Stegostoma tigrinum: one gene and its partner. The protein of the gene in region 1 purifies or fractionates together with the protein of each later gene. This does not show direct contact. Links are inferred from orthologs where the notes say so. Each region holds a gene or a part of one and is shown on either strand. Other genes may lie near its edges. The genes, in order: ocrl and plekhj1.

Region 1 (12,087 bases):
TAACAATTAGAAGTGGCTGTATTCTAATTTGCCTAATACTTTGCATCATTTTTGTTTTTATTAAAAAAGGATAAAAGCAGAAGTTGCCGTCAGTTCTGATTACAACATAATTGGCACAGACTCAGTCTACAGGAAAACAAAAACTTGTCAAGATGTATTCTGAACATTGCAAACAAGTTTGGTGGGGAGTGGTTACGTGGTGGAAGAGTTATGGAGGGTGCAGGGCAGAATAAACTTGCAGACAGCCCACACTAGAGTTCAGCATCAGGAATAAAATTGTTTGGAGGCAGCAAAATAACAGAAGTTGAATTTCTAGAGGTACACACCTCAGAAAACATGAACCTGATAATGCAAGTAAGAGCGGTCAGAGGTCATAATTGTCTCTATTGTCTGATCCATTATTCAATAATGATGAATAGGTTCAGCTCATGAGATCCACTACTGTATCCTACACCCACATAACTTGACTCTTGTCTAACAATTCAGCAATTTATCCATTGCCCAAACATGCCTAGTACTCTGGGGATAGGCAATGCCACAACTTTAACACCTTTTCTTAAATTGGTGTGTGTTTACTGAAGCAAGGACATTCATTTGCACAGCACCTTAGAGACATCTTGGCAATGTCAGAACAAGTAGACTCCAGTCTATCTGAACAAGTATATGGAAATGGTGTTCACTTATACCCCGTCTCTCGTTAACAGAGGTTTCTTACACAAAACATGGTTTAGTCAGTAAAAGGGATTTCCTTCTAAATCTGGATCTCACAAACACATTGAAAAGATTCATGTGTACAGGCACTCAAACAGTCATACCTGAACAAGAGGTAAAATTATGACATTGTTTGAACAGTAGCTCAACTTGAAAAAATTACAGCAAACAAAGCCAAATGAAAACATGCACATACTTACTCATATTCACCTTTATTTTCCATAAGATACAAAACTCTGGGTACTTTCAGCCCATCTTTCAGCTCAGAACCATTGACAGCTTTTCAAGTTATTAAGGAACCATATATTTCAGATCAAGGAGGATAAAAATAAATGTAATCAAATTACTGATTATTGCTGGTCATTGGGAATATCTATGTCCAAATTTTTCCTTTAAGAAAACAGAGATGTACAAAAATTAGATTTGAAGCTGGATGCAGCAGAGAAAGAAAAGTCAGAGAACCAAAGACACCAATTGAATCAAGGGATACAGCAATTTGGTTGGAGCCTTCGTTGGTCCTGAACTGAAAATTCCCTTCCACTTACTTAAATTCTGTAAGTGCAAAACAGTGACAAAACAAGGGTAATATCAATCAAAATTCAGCAAAGTGACAAGTAAAATTCCAATAAAAACAGGCAATGAAACAAATTTAAATAAAGGCAAAAATTGAGGCTATTTTTAAAATTTGGATTCACTTTTGAACTGAAAATCTGAACATAAACTAAAATAAAAGCATTGTATGTGATTACCTTTTTTTGTTATAAATAGACAAATTCCAATATGAATAAATTTAAACTGATGTCTAAAGTCAGTTAGAATCAATTATAAAGTACGGGACACCAGCCGATTTTTCTTTCAGTAAAATATATTTATCATTTTATTGTTCAAGGTAATGTAAGGAGTATGACAGCATCAAATGCACCATGCATTATTCCACAGGACAACTAAGAAAGGTCACTCAATTTTATCCAGTATAATCTGTCATTTTCATCACCTCAACCTGAATGAAAAACTCAGGATTTCACCTATTCTGTTCCACAAATCTATTAATGGTTTTACTAACTGGGTGTGTATAATCTAGATGCAAGCATCAATGACTGTCTTGATTTTAAAGTAAGGATGTTTCCCTTCATTTCGTAATGACTGCAAAGCTCAAAAGTATGTCCCAGAAAAGATTCACAATTAAATACTAGCAAGTCCTTCACTGTACTAAAGAACTCAGCATTAAACTCATTAATAGTAATGCAGTGAATTTTGTTTTCAAACAAAAGTTTATTAGCTAAAATAAAACTACTTGCTTATAATACAAATGCAATAATTTTTAGCGTCTGATTGCAATTCATACTGAAAAAAAGTATGTATGTCTGTTTATCAATTTAGTTTCTCAAAGTACATACCTCAAATATTTTTCACTGAGCTTTCTTCAATTTGTGTCAGTTGTTTCCTCGTACCATTAAATACAACAATCATAGCACAACAATTTCCCCACTTGTAGCTGAGAACTAAGAATAAGTTACTGGTGACAAGGATGCAAAGCATCACGTACAGTTAGACTGCCCACAACCATAATGATAAACACTGAGTATTATAAAATTGCCTGTGCAATTCCAAAAAATCTTTTCTTGAAATTACAATATTGTGACAAACAAATGAAAGATATGCCATATCCTCCTTCACTGAACATTCTAAAGGGAATAAAAGTGCAACTAGTAAGCTATTTTTGTACTTTTAAAAATCTGTCTCTCTCTCTCAATTGCACAAACAATAATTAAACAAATGACCAACTACTCCATTTTTGGTGATACGAGTGACAGGATAAATGATGCTCAGGCCAACAGCACAATTTCTTCTGAATTACACTCATCTTTTTTGATCAACTGACAGGCACACAGAGCTTCAGTTTAATATCATACCAGAAAGACAAAAATACTTAGAATGCAGGATTTGTTGAGTAATACACAATATTGTCAACATAGGAGTATGAAGTCTGCCCAGGAGTGAGGTTTCAACATGGGTCATTCTAACTTCAGAGGGGACAGCATCATCACTGTAACCACATCTGTACAGGCCAGTAAACAGGTTCACAATATATTATCAATCCAACTTTTATAATACATTTGTGGGATACAGACATCACTTACTAGGCCCACATTTATTGCCTATTCTGTATAGCTTTTGGTGATGTGGTGGTGAGCTGCTTTCTTGAACCACTCATCGGACCATGTACAGTGCTGACTGGAAGGGAGCTCCTGGATTTTAACTCAGTAAGTATTTCATACAGCATGATGTATATTACAAAAATGCTCACTCCACTTGCAAAATATTAATGCTACTCTTAGAGGTGCAAGATTTACCAAGTATTAAGTGTAGTGAATTTTAGTCAAAAATGGTTTGACTGAAGTAGAAAAATGAAAGAAGGTCACGGAAATTACAAACAAAAATTGAATAGATGCCTGGCCGTGATTACAGCATTTTACGAATGACATAGAGAACTGAATAGAAAAAAACTGTCACAAACAAGATCTGAAAGAGAGAATTACAGACCATCCAAATGAACCAAAGCTCAAAACATCACGATGAACAGAAACAAAAACAGGAGTTGCTGGAAAAGCTCAGCAGGTCTGGTAGCATCTCTTCAGAGAAATCAGAGTTAACGTTTCGGTCTGGTGAAGGTTCCTCAGAATGTTCTGAGTAAGAATCACCAGATTCACAATGTTACTCTGATTTCTCTTCAGAGATGTGCCAGACCTGCCGAGCATTTCCAGAAGTTTTGCTCTTGTTTCTGATTTACAGCATCTGCAGTTCTTTTGATTTTTACATAGATGATCATAGTCCTTAACCCTTTTTCTCCATATCCATCATCCTAAATTTATTGCCATTTTCCACTTTCCATGGACAACATATTCTAGCTAGTCACCAAATCATATATAACATAGCTAAACGCAAACTGTTCTGACTTCTCTTACAAAGTGAAAACTGAACCTAATGATCAAATTTATGACTTCAGAATTATTAACAATGCAGTTCCCTGAACATGTATCCTTTAGAGTTTTGAATAACTCCAGAATATATCCCAAAAACTCTTTCCTTCAATTTCCTTCCCCTATTTTTGTCATTTACATTTCTGATCTGAGAGATCAGTTTGGATAGCTTTTACTATACTTCCAGCAAGTCAAAATAGCGAAACACCCAAGAGGTTTCAGAACCATTATGTACAAATTGAAGGCTTATTGATGTGGCTTTCTAATGCAATCATGTTGCGTAAAGAAGACTTACGCCTGATGAGAAATGGAATCTACAGGGGTCTTAGAAAAAAATAAAGTTGATTAGCCCAGTTGGCTGGACAACTGGTTTGCAAAACAGAGTTAACACCAAAAAATGTGGGTTCAATTCCTGCACCAACTGAGGTTACTACGAAAGGCTCCCCTTAACTTCTTCCCTCATCTGACGCCCAACGACTCTTAGGTTAAACCACAACCAGTTGTTTCTTTCTAATGGTCTGCTTGGAATGTGGTAAATGTAGCAACAATCGTAGTATTGGAGTAATGATTTCAGAAACTTTTATTTTCAACATTCTGACTGAAACAAATCCATAAATTCATAGTCCGATTTGTTATCCGCATCAGAATGTCAGAATGTTATCATCACACATTCAAGTTCATTTTCATAACAATTGATCACAATGTGAGATTATGTTAAGCTACATAAATCAGTAGGCCTGTGCATGCTTGGTTAGACAATCCAAAATGAGTGGTAACTAGAGTTACAACTGGCTTTAACACCTTGGAACGAACAACAAATAATTTAAACAATTCTGTTTAAGGGGAGGTCATGGTCTTGTGGTGTCTTTGACACAGGATTAATCCGGAGAGCCAAGTAATATCCCGGGGATCTCACATGCAACTGAAAAAAATGGAATTAAGAGTCTAATGATACTCATGAAACTATTATTGATGGTTGGAAAAACCCATAAGGTTCATTAAAGTCCATTAAGGAAGGACACTGCACACTACACGCATCCCCAAAGCCACAGCTAAGTGTTGGAATTTTAACTGCTTCGTGGGCAAAATAGATGGGCAATAAATGCTGGCCTACCCAGCAACATTCACAACGTTAATGAATAAAAAAAGCTGAAAGAGGAAAACAACAGAAATCCTACTCTCGTTTGCTATGTTATGATTCCATCAAAAACACTGACACGAGTTGGAATTGGGATGAGGCTCAGCTCTGATGCACCTCATAGTGCAACGGCCCACCACCGTTCATTTTGGTCCTCTCAAGAGGCGAGCCATTCGGATTCAATGGGGTGGGGGGTGGGCGTGGTTAACACCATATGTAGATTCCTAACTAACCTATGCATATATCAACACTATATTAATACAAGCCTTTCGCAAAAACTGCAGAGCTTTGAAATAAATATGCAAGCTTACAAACGACAACGAAGTGTCTTCGTCACAAACTAATGATCTCGTGCATCAGCACTGCAGAGCAAAACCACAAAAGGGTAGATTGCAGAGCACCAACTCAGCAACAAAACAAACCATTCCTGCAAACTCTGGAAGTACAGTGTTTCTAACAACTAACACAATGCGTTCAGGATAAAATCTCCAAAGAGTCTCGAATTAAAAAAAACTTCACGGATCAGCAACCACTGTCTATCTTACAGGGTTAAGAGGTGGTGGGCAGGTTGCAGTGGTGGAAGAAGTGCACTGGACCGATGAGTGGGCTGCTGGTAGGAAGATTCAGGCTGGGCCCAGCGCTGCCTCCGCTCTTTGAGCCGGCCGGGCCCCAGCTCGTTTCTGTTGTGTTCCTCAGTTGCCAGGATCCCGGCCCTATGTTACACCCAGTCGCTAATTTGCTCATCTGCCCCATGTTAAAGGATATTATCACGGGCTTCCCTTTTCCTCTCGGTGCCGGCTTCTCCATAAGGTTTCCCGGCGTACAGTTCCCCTACCCGCCACGCAATTCGGACCACAGCTCGGTACCTTCACCTCGGCGACATTGCTTCAGTCAGTCAGCCAACGCCAACGAGTTCGATCCTCCCACTGGGCAGGCCAAGAGCGGCGCCACCTTCTGACCTGGAGGGTGGAGCGCTACCTTCCTACATGAGCTAATGCACTCCTGAACATTACAGAGGTAGCGCACCACAATTTAATTATAGCATATTTTAATATCTCTCGAAATAAGCAACAACGTACATTGAAAAACGCTGCAAAATATATTGCGTTTCTCATTCTCATAGCTAGCATTTTTTTTCTGAGGACAGCTCTGATATTAATTGCACCGCAGGGCAACACTAAAATATAATCAAAAACCAAACCATAAAACAAACCACAACAATTTCTGAATTTACTGTACACTGTAGTCCCTAAGGTACCCTCTAGTCACGGAAGCATAGGCACGCCGGGCAGAACTCATGATCCTTTTCCAGGGACACTCCACCCACATACATGAAGGTGCCAGTGTTGGACTTGGGTGGACAAGGTCAAAGATCGTATGGCACTACAGTCCAGCAAATTTATTTGAAGACACAGCTTTTGGCATCATGCTCCCAGTCCAACTCCGTGTTGATGCACAGCGTCATTCGAAACAAGGCCCCCTCACTTAAAATGCATTGTCTGACCTGAGATGTCATCTCCGATATACTGGTAAAACCCTTAGTTATCTCAGGGCAGTGACTTGGAAGACATTCTGGAATTTGCATATTAATCCTTTCTAACCGATTGAAGATTTAACAGCCATCTTAGGTTTGTTCAACACATTTGCATCAGTTCTATGACCCTTTGATCTTTTGCTTATAAATTGTGTCTGATGGCACCTCTCACTGACACCTGAGGAAGGAGCCAGATTCTGAAAGCTTGTGTCTTCAAATAAACCCATTCATGGTTACAGCTGCAAAACAGCAGCAAAGAACCATATGATCAACGCCATAAACTACATGCAATGTGAAGTCAGTTCTGCTATCAGACCACAAGAGTCCACGTTGACTTTCCCAGCACGTGACCTTCCCTCCTACATCATGTGTCAGTAGTGATGAATGCAGGACTGAAGAAGAACTAGAAGTTGAGGAACTGCAGCATCAAACAACAGTGGACAACGATCATAACCTCACACATTGTGTGCAAATATTAACACTGGCACATTTTGGCAGGAAAAAGTACAAACAGCCTGGGAGCCAGTGAAGAGATATAATAAATCCAAAGATGTGCAGGTTAGGTGGATTGACCATGGGAAATGCAGGGTTACAGGGTAGGGTAGGGGGTTTGGTCCAGGTGGGCTGTTCTTCGGAGGGTTGGTGTGGACTTGATGGGCCGAATGGCTTTCTTCCACATTGTAGGCATTCTATGATTCAAGTGATAAATCAGATTTTAGTACAGTACCCTACATCTTCAACATGAGGAAAGCTCAATGTTTTGAATTAACTCTTTCTGACAAGTGCCAAATTAGACCAGGGATTTAAGAGGGAAGAATTAGTGTATGAGATCATTCAGTTCTGACATTTGGCAATAAAACAATGTTGGAAAACTTACTAACCTTAATGGGCAATGGTTGTACAAACACAGCGTACAAAATGAGTACAAAAATAGGTACATCCATGAAAAGAAAACAGAGTTTGTTCATACAACTGTGCACCAGAAGAGCATACATGCATTACAAATTGAGCGGCTTTAACAAAGACAAAAGATTACAAAAAGTGTGTTTCAATATAGTATTTTTCCTTTTGTAACACAATGTTCATTTGCAATAGTGCAGCTGTCATCCTGGCAGAGTATGAATCATGTGCAAATGTTCTGCACCACATAAATATTCCTTAAATATGAGTTAAAATAAGTAAAAGCAGTTAATAAACTTTCTGAGATTTGTCGGCACAACATTGTGGGCTGAAGGGCCTGTTCTGTGCTGTACTGTTCTATGTTAACCATACTAAACAAGAATTAACTGTGCACTATAACACATTGAAAATAATTGACCTCTAATGCATAAATAAGATATACCTTATTGTTTATTTCTATGTTAGACAATTACAAAATTACTCCCAATTGTAGGAAAGCTGGTCTTTTTGTTATTTTTGTTATCGTGGGATGTTGGCATCACTGACAAAGCTAGCATTGATTGTCCATCCCAAACTGTCTTTGAATCAAAAGGCTTTCTTGGCCATTTAGAGGGCTGGTTAAGATAAGCTACATTTCTGGAATTACATGTAGTCTAAGCCTGCTAAGGATGGAAGATTTCTTCGCCTAAATTCATTCCCAATTGAGAAATAACAAACAAGCCTTAAAGCAACATGTGAATGTTTAAATTCGGCAAAGCTTAAAGACAGAGGCATAGAAATTCAAAGGAGCTGCATGTATTTCTCAGGCACAGAATGGCGTGAGAAACTATGATGCACCAACAGGTGCAGTGTAAAAGAAGAATGTATGAGTAACTATTTACTGGTGTTTGGGTTTGCAATATTTATAACTAACATGAATGTGGGGAAGTTCCTCGCTGTGTGCTGAAATTGGTTCACATGTTAATTGAACAATATCAGACTTGTTACATGTAACAGCGTCTGTCACAATTTTTTTTAGTTTTTACGGGCAGAATCCTACTGGATCCTGAACAACTTGGGAAGTGACAAGGAATCTCAGAGAATTCAGTGAGAAGTCCAATGGGGCTTTTCTCAATATTGGGAGCATGAAATTACATTTTCAACAGCGTGCCAGGTATTGAGACAAGATTGTTGTTAGGGAGCGGTGAAATGCCTATCGATAGGGCTTTTTGCTTAATATTGCCCTCATTGACACTAATATGCAAGTTCCTATGCTACCAAGCAACTGATAGGAATGATACAAATTCTCAATGCCAAGAATTCACAAAATAAAAGTCAGAATGTGCACCTGGTAAACACGATTGTTCCTCCAGACAGCCAACCTGGACACCCAGCATCAACATTTCAGACAGGCCCCAGAGCAGTTGCTTTTCCCACCCACATCCACAGATGCTTGCAGGGTGGGGGTTGGTGGGGCAATAGCCAACCTGTCCACATCCTTTGATACATCCTAATCCACTTACAATGTGACTCTGTGCTGTGATGTTGCACTTTAAGCCACACTTGCAGCTCTCATTGCAATATCACTGACAGGTCACAGCTCACATGAACAGGCACCCATCTCGCAAACTGGACCAGGCTGCATCTCAGGGGTGCCACATCATCTCTTAGCACTTGCTTGCTTAGCAACTACCTGGATGCTCACGGTATTCCCATCTTACCTTGTTTTGTCTTCAACATGTTGCCCTTGAAGAACAACAATGTAAAGTCTCACAGTACTTCTGTATTGTTTTGCACTTGATTGTAGAAACAAAGCCAGGCAATTTGTCACCCTTGTCAACAGTCGGGGGTGAACAGATACGACATGTGACAACAATAAATCAGATCAAAATCAAACTCACACCTGGAGAATGTGCCAGCTTCCTGCATGGCAAACGTTCTGCATCTCTATAACCAAATGGTCACGTCTCAAAGTTGAAGGGGAATAGTCCTGAGGGGAATCAAGAGATGCTGCTAGCATTTGGGGGTCCTAGTGCAGATGGTCAAGTGCAGTCTTACAGAGCATGAGCTTAGCAACAGCCAGACATCCAGATGAACCAGTAATGGTCAAGTGATCCATCTCTGCATAGGCTGAGGAGTGAGGGAGATGTAAGGGATTAATGCAGGGATTGTGGGCTGTAGCCAGGGATGTGGAGGGCACATGGATGGGGATGGAGGGGATCTCAGTATGTAAGAGGAGAGCTGGTAATGCATGAGAGAGCATGGGATGCTACGGGAGGAGGAATGATAGGATACAATCATCATTGCAACTTCATTTGCAAGATGGTGGTCATCACCAAGGTATAGTAACAGGGTCCAGGTGGTAAGATGGATATGTGAAAATTCAGTTTAATGTGGTGGTTGAGCACAGGTGAGGTTCTGTGAAACAAAGTCAGAAACTACTGGAAAATCTCAGCATGTCTGGCAGCATCTGTGAAGTGAAATCAGAGTTAAAGTTTCATATCCAATTACCCTTTTCCAGCAATTTCTGATTTTGTTTCAGATTTCCACAATCTACAGTTCTTTCAGTTTTTTTTGCCCAGGGTTTTGTGAAGAAACACTATCCAGGGAACACTAGGCAGAAAGAGATGTGGAGGTTTGGTCAAGCGGGTGAATCTGACTACCAGACCAAGCCTGGTACTGACAGTGTCCAGCTTGACCTGCATTTGCTTCCACATTCTGCTGCACCAAGCTTGGGCTGAGCGCGTCATTTTTTAGCCAAGAATGCAGGCTCCAATCCAGTCCGATATGCCAGGGATGGGCTTTAACAGTTCAAATACTGATCAAAGACAATGTCGTCCATGTCATTAGTCCTTGCAAATTGCAGACAGAAAACTCTGTGAAGCAGAAGTAACCACAGGTGACCTTAAATGAGACACCAGTGGGCCACATCACACACAGTTAATTCAAGACTTCCTACAGGATAGAGGGCCACACAAACTGGTTACCTCTCCAACTGAAAGGTAAGAATGGTAGAAGCCTATTTTGTTTGCAATTATGCAATTTTGTGGGTGATGTGGGGCTTGGGACAAGGTTACTAGTGTTTATCCAACATTTGACCTCTGCTACTATCAATCTTCACCATGACCAGTCGAGCACTGGGTAAAATAAAGTCCCAAATCAAAGTTGCATTATGGCTTATTCCAAGGGTCCTCCTTATCTGAATGCAACATGCCTCACTCTTTGGAGGAGCACATTCAGCCATCACTTATCATGGATGTGACAGTTGGCCAATCCCATTGCTAAGAATCTCTTCTGTTCCTTATGTTTCCGATAGATGATCATTGCCACTGTGACCGATGAACCTAGTCAAAGTGGATATGGTTGTCACAGTTGCCACCATGGAAAAAAAATGGAGGAGAAATGAATACATCAGCCAGCCCTGGACCAGCAGTAACCTGCTGCAGAAGGTTGCAGAGCTCTGTTATGTGAAGAGGGTGCAGCTGAAAGGCTTCTCAATATGCATCACAGACAGAGAACCATAGTCCTTTCTCCTCAATACCCTTTCCCCCATAAGGTGAGGTGCAGTGGTGGCGTAGATTGAAGATATCCAAGATCTATGCTTTACCTTGACCGGTCTGATAGGGCCCAACTCTGGACAGAATGTGCCACATAATTCTCACTTGCTGTCCTCAGCATAACTAGAGTATGCCAAGAAGCAACATACTGAATGTTAAGTAACTGGGAGAGGTGGAGCAGTCTTCTTCTGAGGACAAGGAAGAAAAAGACATTGAGCAGGAGGAACATAACCTTATTCATGGCAGAGTACGTCAGGCACTACAAATCAGACAGGTCTTAGTTGGCAGCCAGTTCTATTAGACGAGAACTGGGTTCAGTGACCATTCATTGACTGTACAATATCAGCAGTTTGTTTGCATGCTGGAGGGTAATGCAGCTTCTGTTTTGTTTGGTTTTTGTCTGCCTTTGGTTTCTGTAAGAACAAGTTAATATGACACATCATTTGGAGGCTTTCCTGTGTGTCATGGCCTAACAGTGAACAATGATGAGATGCTGGGCTCCAGTGGATACTGGGGACAGGGTACCAGTTACTTAAGAAGATTTTAAGATGGTATGTGATCAGAAATTGGTTAAGTATGTGGACTGGTGCTTAGACAGCAATTGGGGTGAAAATGTGCAATTGCGTTTGCAGTGTCAGCTTTGCTGCCTCTTTGCCATAAAAATGCTGGGTTACAATGTTCATGGTGAGGGTCAACTCCGAACTGCCAAATCTTGACCAGTTCATGGCAGGCGTTCCAAGATGGCATTGGCATGAGGGATGCTGATCAATTCTGGGATATCCTGGCAATTATGAGTTTATTCACTTCTGCTGACTTGCAAAATCTAGCTAGCATCAGATGAGAGATGCGCAATAGATCATGGTAGATACTTAATGAGATGAGTCTGGACTGATAGCATGAGAGAACACACTCTTCCTTGTGGAAAGAAAATTTCCTTGAAACATGACACAAATAATACTTAACCAATATATCATCAGATTCAATCTTGTGTGTTTATAATTATTATCCACATTGACACCTAAATTCAGTGTTAAATGCTTTGTTTCTCATTTGCTGTACATTTTTTTCACAAACAATTAACTGAACAGTAATTATGATGCAGTTATTTTCAGATTGTTTTAACTAAAACTGTATAAAATAATAAATGTAGGTGGTTTCTGAGGGAAGAATTGAATTAAAATATTTTGTTAAATCAGTCTCCTAAGATATATAGGCACCTTATTACTAACATTGTCCTTAAAACTTCAGTGTTGTCAGTGGCCAGTTTCTCACTGTATGATCCCTTTC
Region 2 (13,001 bases), on another chromosome or scaffold:
TCTAAACTGAACTAGTCCCATTTGCGTAAATTTGGCCTATATCCCTCCATTAAGCTGGAGATGGTTCAAAAGAGATTTACCAGGATGTTAGAGATAACAAAAAGCGTGGAGCTGGATGAACACAGCCAGCCAAGCAGCACCTTAGGAGCACAAAAGCTGATGTTTCAGGCCTAGACCCTTCATCAGAAAACAGGGAGGGGGAAGAGGGTTCTGAAATAAATAGGGAGAAAGGAGGAGGCAGATCGGAGATGAAGAGAGGAGAAGACAGATGGAGAGGAGTCAGACAAGTTGAAGGGGTGGGGATGGAGCCTGTAGAGGTGAGTATAGGTGGGGAGGTAGGGAGGGAATAGGTCAGTCCAGGGAGGACGGACAGGTCAAGGGGGTGGGATGAGGTTAGTAGGTAGGGAATGGAGGTGTGGCTTGAGGTGGGAGGAGGGGATGGGTGAGAGGAAGAACACTTTAGGGAGGTGGGGGCAAGCTGGGCCGGTTTTGGGATTTGGGGGGTGGGAGGGGGTCGATTTTGAAGCTTGTGAAATCCACATTGATATCATTGGCCTGCAGGGTTCCCAAGCAGAATATGTGTTGCTGTTCTCCTCCCCTTTACCAAGATGTTGCCAGACATGGAAGGTTTGAGTTATAAAGATACGCTGGGATATTTCTCACTGGAGCATAAAGAAGTTACCGAAGTTTAAAAGACAATGAAGGGTACAGATAGTTAATAGTAGTTGTCTTTTCCCTAGGATGGGGATTTCAAGACCAGAGGACATATTATTAAGGTGTCAGTGGAAAGATTTAAAAAAGGCATGAGACGAAATTTTTTTTAAAAGAGGGTGGTTTGTGTGTGCAATGAATTTTGAGGAAGCGGTGGCTGTAGGTACAATTACAACGTTTAAAAGACATTTGGATAAGTAACTGAATAGGTAATTTTGGAGGGATATGGGCTAGGAGCAGGCAAGTGGGAGCAGTTTAGTTTGGGATTACATTTGGCACAGACAGGTTTCTGATTTCATGCTGCATTACTAAACTTTTCCTATTCATGTACCCATCCAGATGCCTCTTAAGTGTTGTAAATGTACCCACCTTCACAACTTCCACTAGCAGCTCATTCCATACACATACCACCCTGTGAGAAAAAGTTACCCATCAGATCACTTTTAATGCTTTCCCTGCTCACCTTAAACCTATACCTTTTGTTTAGGACTTCCATACCTTTGGAAAACAGACCTTGCTTATTCACCTCATCGATGCCCCTCATGGTTTTATAAACCTACAGCCCCTGACACTCCAGGGATGAAAAAGTACCAGCCTTTGAAGCGTCTCCTTATAATTCAAATCCCCCAGTCCTGGCAGTAGATTGGTTAGTGAGGTTAAATCACATGCTATCCAAATGAATACAAAATTGGCTTGATGGTAGAAGACAGATGGTGGTGTTGGTGCATTGCTAGCCTTTAATTTTCTTTGAATATATTTTTATTTTGATCCTTTGTGGTCCCTGTCCAACAGAAATTGGCGGAGACAGAGTCAAGGGACAGCCATTTTTTGTTCGTTTCTTTATTTATTTACCCCCCCACTCCAAAGTAATAGGGTCTTTGTTTTCACAATACAGTCAAGGAAACTTTATTTCCTGTTTCAAAACAGTAAGCAGGCTTTGCTCAGTGTTTCACCTGGTGCTATCCCAGTCTGAGGGAATATCTGATGGGGGGGGGGGTGGCACGGGAGAAGGGGTCTTGGTATTTTCTGGTTACACCTTTCGTTTAAAAGTAGAGGGATGTTATTTGGACTGGAGGCTTGCGACCAGCAGTGTGGTGCAAGGATGGGTTCACTGTTGTTCATCATTTATGTCAACAATTTGGATGAGAATATAGGAGATATAGTAAGTTAGTTTGCGGATGACACCAAAATTGTTGACACAGCAGACTGTGAAAGAGGTAATCTATGAGTACAATGAAATCTTGACTAAATAAGGCCAATGGGCCAAGTAGTGACAGGTGGAGTTTAATTTGGATTGATGTGAGGTGCTGCATTTTGGTAAAGTAAACAAGGGCAGGACTTACACAGCTGGTATGTCCTGGAGAGTGTTGCTGAGCAGAGGAATCTAGGGGTGCAGGTTCACAGTTTCTTGAAAGTGGCATTGCAGGTAGCTAGGTTGGTGAAGGCAGCATTTGGCATACTTGCCTTCATTGGCTAGAAGATTGAGTATAGGAGTTGTGACAAATATTGCATTATACAAGACAATGGCAAGGCCAATTCTGGCCATCCTGCTATAAGGAGGATGTTACTGATCTAGAAAGGGCACAGAAAAAAATTGCAAGGATGTTACAAAATGCAAAATATACTAGCGATTTGATCTGGATATTGCTGTAATGCAAGGCAGCCAGAAGGCATGTTATCTAATGATTAAACACCCACAAGCAGGAAATGATGATAAACAGGCCAAAGCAATAAACTAGAGCAATCAGTCCTAACACAACTGCTTTTAAATGTTAGTTATATATAGAATTTAGAAAGAGAATGACTTGTTAATGTTTCGGACTGCTTTTCATTCAAACTTGTGCTTCAGTTTAAACTCTCCCACAAAGCAAATATTGCAGACGCTGAAGTGAACAAATTGCAGGAGCTATTCAGTGGAGCAAGTAACATCTGTGGAGAAAAAAGCTAATATTTGAGGGATGCAATCTTTAAAGGAAAAAAAACTTTAAATATAACAGACATTAGAGGTTTTAATCAAGTAGAATTAGGCCAACCAAGATGGGTGATGGCAGGTGGGATTAAGTTTTCTTCTCTCATTCACTTGCCTTGCCTCTTGGATGATGGGGCTGAATATAGGGCAGACTCATTAGCAATTATCATTGTCAAATGTAAGATGGGTAAGTTGCCAAAAGCAGGTAAAGGGTCTAGAAACAGGTATTTGACAGAGGGCAAAAATCTGGCAGATTGAATTTAATGTGAATTTGTCTACTTTGGAAGGAAAAACGGAAATGTACCCACTATTTAAAACAGTGCAGGCAGAGATTGCCAAACTGTGTCTGTGTGACCTGTGATGCAAATCAAAACAAAAATCAGTTTGCAGCTCTGGCAAGTGATTAGGGAGACAAATAGAATGGCAATTATTACAAGGGGAATGGAATACATAAGCAGGAACATTTTATTGCTGCAGGGCTTTGGTGAAACCATATCTCAAATACATGTACACTTTTTTTCAAAAAAGTGTACAAGGTTCAATTGGCTCATTTCTGATATGAAGGGCTCATCTTACAAAGAAACGACTGAGCTGGGTGGGCTAGTTCCTTCCAAGAACTTAGTAGAATGAGGGGATCTTATTGAAATATACAAGGCCATGAGTGAATTTGATACAGTGGATAGTTTTGGATAGGAAAATGGAATGGAGACCACAATCAGATCACGTATGATTTAATGGGAAAGGCAAAAGGAAAGGCCAAATGGCCTACTTCTGTTCCCAAATCCACATTCCCATGCTCCTTCACTTACTAAAGCTTGTTACAGCTGATATTTTCCACACCTGAAACATTAACTCTGTATCGCTCTCTAGAGATGCTCTCAACATACTAACTATAGTCAGCATTTTTAGCTTTGTAAATACAGATGTCAGACCTCTTAGACCTCTCTCTAGTCAACATTTTTGAATGAATTGGATGGTTATCAATCTCCAAACTGAATTTGAAATCATTTCAACACATCACAAAAATCATGCTCATATGAACAAATGTCTCCATTCCTATACAGGATCATTGGCCATTTAAACCCTCATTCATGCTAGTCACCTCCAGACCACTCAACATGAACTCAGCATACTCAAAAGACTTATTTATTGCACAACAAACCCAGTTCGACCATCACCTCTATCCACAAGACTCACATTAACATCCAGATTTTAACAATTTTATGTTACTCTCCTTATCGGCAAATACATTTACAGTCTAATCACCATTACTCCCACATCTGCAGGCCACCTTGTGTTTGTCTTTCCAGCCCAATGAGCAGCTGCCCTTTAACTCCATTTATTGATGATCTTGTTTTCTGGCTATGAGACTTCACACTCAAATCTCTCCCTCTCCCCCCAACCCACTCTTTTTCTGCTACAGACCCCACACTAAAATAGAAGCTTTCTTTTTTTAAAAAAGAAACATTCATAACATTTTTTTGGTTCATGTGGTTTCCCTGTCCCCAGGGTAGGGGTTATTGTTACAGTAAAAACTTATAAAATGCAATCATAATAGGTTGGCATTTACTTTACACTCTCTGCTGTCCCCTCCATCGACAGCTAACATTGACATATAATAGAGCTAAACAATTTGCGGTGCATAACCACTGTTTTCTGATTGTAGTGCTTGCAGCGAATTTAAGAAATGGAACAGGCAACTGGGTTTAAGTAGAAGTGATAACTGCTAATTTAGATACTCGAAGGAAAGGTGGGCAGAGTCAACTCTTGCACGTTGCACTCAATGTCACCAGCGGGTTACAAAATTATGAGGTAGGTATTGGTTCCAATGTAACACCCCAGGACTGTTTTCATCCTCCCTGCTGAGCAAGTGAAATCCCTTTCAACCCATCCGACCCCAATTCTGAGGAAGGGTCACCGGGCCCGAAACCTTAACTGTTTCTCCCCAACCCACCCCACCCCACCCCACAAATGTTGCCAGACCTGCTGAGCTTTTCCAGCAAGTTCTATTTTTGTTTCTCGAGCAGCTTAGATTGCTCCTTACCGTCGTTGCGCTTTGGGCCCTTCATGGTGAGCTCGGCTGCCTTCTCGGCCGGTTGTTTGGAGAGACACAGCAGCTCCTTCTCATTGTATCTCATGGTAGCTGGCAGAAAGGCCCCTTCCCCCTCGATATCACCCCTTCCCTCACCGAGGGGAGGGGGGGGGGGTGGATGTTAATGAGCAGTTCCTTGCCTTCAGACACAGCCACCACCCTGGACAAAGCTGCCCCACCTGGTGAGCGTTATCTCTGGAAGCGAAGGCCGAGCGGGAGGTGCGTGCCGTTGGTACAAAATCGCGATAAAGTCTGCGGCATATCTAAAAGTCAATAAACACGGGCACGCCCAATCTAGCGACAAATCATGACTTCGAGCTGCGGCGGAGGCTGGCACTACGCGGCACACCGAGCGGCAGACGGAACAAAAACCGCACCTCACCCCAACGCTCGACCTCCCTCAGAATCCACCGCGTCTTCTTGTCAATAAAGTTATTGAAAAGCCCCACTTCCGGTGGTCCACGACCTTCTTCCGGTTTTTGGCGCATCGCGCCAGTGTTCTTTGTTAATAAAGTTACTGATAACAGTAAGTTCCGGTGCGCCGCGACTTTCTTCCGGTCGGTTTTGGTGGCTGTTGGAGGCGTGTTCAGGTAGTCGCGGGGCTGATGGTTCGAGGCCGCTAGTTTATTGGTCCCTGGTAGCCGGAGCTTGGTGGGTCAGGCACAATATACCTTCGTCATGATGAATGTTCTTTCCCTCACTTCCCCCCCCCCCGGACCGGTTGTTAACCCGGCCATTTTCTGAGCTGGCCAAGGAACCTGAGGCCTGTGTTTCCAGGCTGTTTAATGCAACGTTTTCCTTTGTGTCTGCTTGTTTGTTCAATGGTAAAGCTGGAGCGATTGGGGTCAACTTTGTTCGGAGTGAGCTGAATAAGCAAAGTGCTTGGTCTGACTGAAACCAGGTTGAGAGTTTGTTTCCCCTTGACTTTTGGGTGGTGGTGTGAGGAGAAAGGTGGTTCGGCATAGAGGACCGAGTACCTAACACTGAGATGAGGAGAAGTTTTTACAACAACGCACTTAATGGGTTAGAGATAGTGGGAACTGCAGATGCTGGAGAATCCGAGAATCTTTTTCTGATGAAGGGTCTAGGCCCGAAACATCAGCTTTTGTGCTCCTAAGATGCTGCTTGGCCTGCTGTGTTCATCCAGCTTCACACTTTGTTATCACTTAATGGGTTAGATTTTGAATCTTTAGAATTCTGTCTTGGAGTACTGCCTACAGTTTTGTTTTCCTATCCTGAGCAGGGGATAAATATTTTTTGATCAACTTGTTCAGAAATATTATGATGTACCTCTAGAGCATCAGAGGGACTTTAACCCAGGCCTTCTGGTTCAGATGTAGGGTGTTTACCAGTATGTCACTCGACCCTTCTGAAAAGGGGATGTACTTGCCATAGAAGGAGCACAATGGCAGTTCATCAAATTAATCCCTCCGACAGCATGTTTGTTATACCAGGGATTGAGGAGATTGGGTATATATTTCTTAGAGCTTTGAAGATTTGGAGTTGAACTCATTGAAACTTACAGGACATGATAGGGTGAATATAGATAAGCTGTTTTCTCTGGATGTTAAACGAAAAATGAGGGGCCATAATCTCAGGATAAAGGATGAGGTATTTGGACTAAACTAACAGGTGCTGTGTTATTAGGTATATTCAAGGTTAAGATTGATGGATTGTTGGTGTCTCACAAATTCCTGATATAGGATTTATGAAGTTAAGGCAGAAAGTCAATGACATTTGTATTATGTGGTGGCCCAAGCTTAATGAACTGGGTGGTCTATTCCTTTTCCATACATTTAGTTTAAGAGTAGTGGAAAATGTTTGTACTGCATATGTACATGAATGATGTAAGGAGGAATGTTTTTGTTAATATATATGCTTCCAAACACTTGTGTGGTGAGGGAATCTTCTTTATTTCTGACGACAGATTTTTGCTTCAGCTTTAACTACATTTCACAAGATTGATCACTGGTTGCATCTGTTCTATTCTGTAGTTTTTCCCAATGGCTTGAGTTGAAACATTCAGCACATCATCACAAATATTTATCTTTTTGTTCCTATGCCATGTGTGTTCCCAGAATGTTAATCTTCTACCAGTTTTTTAAAATATATATTGCCTGACCACAATTTCAGCTGTTAGTACCGTTACATTCTACCCAAGTATGCAGATAATGCCAACATTTGTGTCCTTGCTGTTTCCTTGATTTGATGCTGCCCCTGTTTGGATGAGTGTGAATGGGTTAGAAACTTCTCTGGAATGATCTTAGCTGATGTTCTGACCCTTTGCGAAAAACTGAGTCTATCTCTCTTCAATTGCTCACCAAGGATCCACCATAAACAAGCTTGGTTTGCTGTTTGGAACAACTGACTTTGGCCTCGTTCCTAGTATCACTTGGGATCAGCTCATCTCCAAGTCTGAATATAGTAAATTTAACCTGCCCTCCAGTAGCTGAGCATGTAAGTGCTCAATATTTAAGTGAATTTTGAGACAACTCTGCATCTTTGAAGATGTTATGCTTTTTGGATGAAGTATTAAACCAGGATGTGTTCAACAACAGCAACTTAGCATTTACATTGGGAACAGGAACAGACCATGTAACTAGTCAAGCCTGCATCACCATTCGTTTACTTCAACACCACTTCCCTGCACTATATTAGTACTGTTTGATATCATTAATTTCTGACTTGAATATCTCAAATTTTTTTTTAGTTTCCGAAGCCCCTGGGTAGAGAATTCCAATATTCATTACCCTCTGAGTGACAAGATTCATGCACGTCTTGATTTGAACTTAGCTTACCCTTCCTTAGTTTATGTCCCCTGGAATTATACTTACCAGCCAGATGAAACAGCTTCCCTGCCTTCTCGCATCCTGTAAGCATTATGTAAGTTTTAGTGAGTTCATCCCTCATTTTGTCTTGAAACTTTAGAGAATGCAGATCCATCATCTTCAATCCATCATAGAAAAATTACACTACCCCAGGGATTAATCTAGTGAACCTCCATTCCCCTCCTGTTCTGGCATGCATATCCCTTTGTTAGATATGGGAATCAAACTGCACACTGTACTCCAGGTGAGGTCATGCAAAGGCTTTATTCAACTGCAGCAAGATATTTTTATTCCTGTTTTCAAGTCCCCTTATGATGGAGAGCCAGCATACCATATGCCTTCCTAGTTATTTGTTGAACCTGAATGCTAACTTGTAGGATCTTTGGACATCCTCAGTTTCCAACCTCTCACCATTTAGGAAAAAGTCTGCTTTTCTGTTTTTGTTTCTCAATTAAAGCAAATAACTGCACATTGACTCACATTATTTTCCACCTGCATATTCTAGCCAATTCACTAAGTTTGTCTAAATTCTTCTTGAAGCCTTTCTTAGTCTGTTTCACAATGTACCCACCCAAATTGGTGTCATCAGCAAATTTTGAAATATGACAGTTGGTGCCTAAGCTGAAATTATTGGACTGAAAATAGCTTATGAACACAAGTCAATATAGTTTTGTGCATTATTTAACAGCCTGCTTTCCTGAGCATGGTCTGTTAATTCCTACTCTCTGCTTTCTGTCTATTAAAAGCCCTGTCAACCCTCTACAGTCCTCCTTGCTAACATCTAGGGACTAATGCCAAAATTTTGGCACTACATTCTCAAACATTCACTCCCTCCACCCCCAACACACAGTTGCAGCAGTGTGTACTATCTACAAGATGCATTGCAGAAATTCACCAAAGATCCTCTGACAGCACCTTCCAAACCCATGATAACTTCCATCTCGAAAGAGAAGGGCAGTAGATACACAAGAACACCACCAAGTTCAAGTTCCCCTCCAAGCCATTCACCATCCTGACTTGGATATACATTGATGTTCCTTCACAGTCACTGGGTCAAAATCCTGGAATTCCCTCCCCGATGGCATTGTGGGTCAACCCACAATGATAGGCTACATCAGTTCAAGAAGGCAGCTCACCACCACCTTCTCAAGGGCAGCTAGGAATGGACAATAAATGCTGGCCAGCCTGCAGTGCCCACATCCCATAAAATGAATAAAAAAACCCTCAAGTCCTGGTAACATCCTGGTGAATTTTTGGTTTATGTGTTCATAGGAAGCTATGAAAATAATTGCTATTTTGTTCCAATGTAGTGTTCCTCCTCCAGAGTCCTTACAATTGGAATTACGCCAGCATTCTATTTCGTCAGCTTCACTCCAACTACAACTTATATTAATGAGATTGGTGACCATCTCAGCATTTTACAAGGGGGAGAAATGAACAATGGAAGACTAGTAGTGCATTTGAACAGTTCAGTTTTCATGAGGCTATAGGAAGCAGGTAGAGAAGTATGAAAAATTTCAAGGATGTGTACTAAGCAATTAGAATATATGTGTTGGGAGACAGAAGTAAAACCAATTTAAAGAAATGGATACCAATGGCTGGAGTGTAGTGTTACAGATTTCATAGATTAAAGAGAAGCTATACATGGATTGAATGAGTGGGGTAGGGCCTTTGAAATTGGCACAAGAAATCAATTCAGTTTAGTCAGGATGGACGTGATAATGGGCAGTGATGATTAGCTGAAGCTGATAGAGAGCTTGTGAGAATTAAATTTTTGGAGATGCTTAACACATCAATGGACTATTTTAGTGTGAAGTAACAGTGTTATTTGGCAACCTGCAAGAAGGCAATGTATTGAAAGGGGAAGAATGGGTTCTAATGGTGAGCTTAGAATTGATCAGACTAACTTGATCTTCACTGCAGGATTTACAGCTGGTGCCTGAATTTTGCAGGTGTGAGCAAACCTTCAGTTTGCACTTGTGGACTAATTTTACAATATATTCGTCATGGGTGCTAGGTTTTAACCCAAACCAGCCTCTTTATACTTTATTGTCCAAGCTCTGATGTTGCTTTTGGTTTCTAATTGTTGAGACTAATGTGGAGCTTATAACTATGGTTTCAGGACCTGTATTGAACTCTCAGCCCTGATTAATCAAATTGGTAAAGTATAAAAGTGAAGGAAAAGTAACAAGTCTGCACAAATGCTTCTTTGCTACCAGGAACTGGTTGAATCTTGCCAAACTGATTTAACACATAGCCGTAATAGTCAATCAGTTGGCATCAACAAATATACTGGCTGGATTTAAAAACAGATCACAAGTGTGAAAAGGTAAAGTCTATGCATTACAACAGAGAATGGTATTTGCAAGTATGAAATATTTACTATGAATATTTTTCCAGCTCATAAAGCTGACGTTTCATTGTTAAAATCTATACCATATTTAAGATAGTGAAGTCTATAAGTTAATAACGTCAAGAAATCTTTAGAATGTACTTGACCTTTTTGTAAAAACATGTGTATAAAAGAATTACACAGGTGATTCTGCAATCTGTCACTCCAACTGCAGAGCGATGCTCACAGCTAGTGGACCTCAGGACGTCAGAGGCCCTTGTCTGTCTTTTCCTGAGATGTACAATTGTCTGTGACATCGGATCATTCATGCAGTACTTCAAAAACATTCCTCATAAAGTTGCCATTTTGTGAAACAAACGATAAGTTTCTGTACAGAAAGTGAAACTGACTATTAATATATCTGCATTTTTGTTTTTAAACTCTTTCAGATTTTGTAAAAAGATACTCTTCATCAAATAACTATGGATTTTCAACATCGACCAGGAGGGAAAACTGGCAGTGGAGGGGTTGCTTCCTCCTCTGAAAGCAATCGAGATCGAAGAGAACGGTTGAGACAGTTAGCTTTGGAAACCATTGACATAAATAAGGTTAGTTTCTGAGTGCAATCAGTACCAGTAAATTCCTGCAAATCTCTCGGCATATTGAAATTTTATTACTATTCTCTTTCTAATTTTTAGGATCCCTATTTTATGAAAAATCACCTGGGTTCTTATGAATGTAAACTTTGTCTAACACTTCACAACAATGAGGTAAGTTTAGTTTTTTGTTGACACAAAAGTGGAAAATGTCTGCTGGGAGAGGGAGTTCATCTGGGCTTCAGATGGCAGTATAAGGCAATAAAGATCTTTATTTCTGTTGCCAGCTGTCAGCTACGTCCAAAGGCATTGTGAAAAATACTGCAACAGGTTCTGACAGTCTTGTCTTGGCCTCCCTTCTTTGTTACCTAGGACACGACACTCACTTTATGCACATTAGAAGAATAAAAGTCTGAGTGAGCCATTGTCGTTTTTGCTGTCAGATCTGAACTCTTCCAACCTAATGTTCAGATAGACAGGAATGTTATGAAATTGTTCTTGTGCTGTTGTTGGACTGGCATTGTTATCTTATTTGCTTAGAAATGCTACTGTAATTATTAAAGTTGAACAAAACAGGACAAAGCAGCTCATTATGACCCTGTCCACCACCTTCAACATTTGCTCGCATCCTCCATTGGTACACCATGATGGCATCTACAGCAAAATGCATTCCAGCAATTCACCAAGAATGCTTTGGTAGCATCTTCAGAAATATAACCCTTATCATCTTGAAAAACAAGCAAAGTAGGTGCATGTGAACATCATCACCTGCAGCTCTCCCTCTATGTCATGCTCGTTCTTCCTGCATCTCTAAAAATTATGAACTTGCTCAATAACAGTGTTTTGGCTGGACCTATAAGCACATAGACTGCAGTGGTATTAGAGGCCGGCTCATCTATGTCACTTATTCAACTTCTTCAGTTGGGGATGAGCAATAAATACTACCCTTGCCAATGGCACCCACATCTCATGAGTAAGAAAATTAGGTAAACACTTAAACAAAAAACCTTTTACAGTAAATTTTAGTCGATAATTGAAACTCAAGCCAAGGTTGCATTTCGGATTTACGGTGCTATCTTTGAGCTGATGTGATTTATTTTTCAGTCAACAGTTTGAGGTGTAACATCAGGTGTAACATCTTTATTTTTTGCGTAATCTTATTTAAGCTAGCTGAGTTTGTATGTAATTAATTTTTCCATAATATTTTGCAACACATCTTCTAAAGTCACTTAATTCATTTTTATATGGTTGGACTAAATTTCTATTACATCAAGACAAAAGTAATGCTGATAATGGGATGATTTCCCACAGAACATATGTGGATATTTAAATAGGTTTACATCAAATTCTTTAAGCTGGACACTTCTGTTTTCCACTAGTTTGGATGAGTCTAAATACTGCTTTAAGAACAAGATTATTGATGAACTTGCTTTTTGGAAATTGCATTGAAAATAACTCAAATGCATTTGACATTCTCATCCTTAATATAGGGGTTTTATTGACCTGCCTGTTAGGACTTAAATTAGATCGAGTATTCAAAAGCAAATACAAAGCTTTAACCTACTGATCTTCCTCCCGGTACCACCAGCAATTTTTTCTTTTAAATCAGGTTTTCTCTCAAATAAAGTGTTGTATTCTTGGAACTATCTTTTACATTTCTGATGTTGAGGTTTGTTCAGTTAATTTACCCAAGTTGCCTATCCTTTAATTGCATATAAAATTAGACTCTTTTAAAGTACTGTTTTAACTTGATTTGAATTTTTCTTCTATAGGGAAGCTATTTGGCACACACACAAGGGAAAAAACATCAGACTAATCTGTAAGTGTAAAATTATGTTTAATGTAAAAATATGTGAGTTTTGAGAAGATTTGTAGCTCAGGTAGCTCTGGATGGGAGTTTGATCGCTAAGCTGGAAGGTTAGTTTTCAGATGTTTCGTCACCATTCTAGGTAACATCATCAGTGAGCCTCTGACAAAGCGCTGGTGTTATGTCCCGCTTTCTATTTATAACCTTAACATATAAATAGAAAGCGGGACATAACACCAACGCTTCGTCGGAGGCTCACTGATGATGTTACCTAGAATGGTGACGAAACGTCTGAAAACTAACCTTCCAGCTCAGCGAGCAAACTCACATCCAGTAAAAATATGTTTTTGCAATTATTCTGTGTTCAGTTCCTTTATTTTAACAAATACTTGTCTCATTAGAAAAACATAAACTGTAAAATATGCAGGTCAATGCCATTAGTTGAGATTTTCTGTTTATATTGCAGCTGTTATCTGTCAAAACTTTTACTGCATTTGAATACTGCCTTCCATTTGAATAGAGTCTTCCATTCATTGATGCAAGGTTTTAAATATAAAATTTGGGGTTAAAAAAAGTCTTTGTTTCATTCTGTTAGCTCTTTCTCAGAAGGCCCTTTGAAGAAATATAGTGAGAGGTAGATGAGAGGAGTCAGTGCTGTTGTCAGAT

The links.
Region 2: the proteins of ocrl (region 1) and plekhj1 purify together in Homo sapiens (co-immunoprecipitation; 3 studies listed by BioGRID and IntAct, counting the BioPlex papers as one, with this or other methods). This does not show direct contact. The link is inferred for Stegostoma tigrinum from reciprocal best matches to the Homo sapiens genes OCRL and PLEKHJ1.

Annotation. Positions count from the first base shown.
Region 1 is NC_081368.1:44,348,260-44,360,346, forward strand, and holds the start of ocrl (inositol polyphosphate 5-phosphatase OCRL), read right to left. Parts: upstream 5,744-12,087; 5' UTR 5,638-5,743; coding exon 5,596-5,637; intron 5,533-5,595; exon of another isoform or gene 5,376-5,532; intron 993-5,375; exon of another isoform or gene 992-992; coding exon 912-991; intron 1-911. UniProt on the Homo sapiens protein: Catalyzes the hydrolysis of the 5-position phosphate of phosphatidylinositol 4,5-bisphosphate (PtdIns(4,5)P2) and phosphatidylinositol-3,4,5-bisphosphate (PtdIns(3,4,5)P3), with the greatest catalytic activity towards PtdIns(4,5)P2.
Region 2 is NC_081383.1:19,449,562-19,462,562, forward strand, and holds the start of plekhj1 (pleckstrin homology domain-containing family J member 1), read right to left. Parts: upstream 5,219-13,001; 5' UTR 4,819-5,218; coding exon 4,725-4,818; intron 1-4,724. Other genes in the region: sf3a2 (splicing factor 3A subunit 2), read left to right, coding at 10,415-10,540, 10,631-10,702, 12,301-12,347.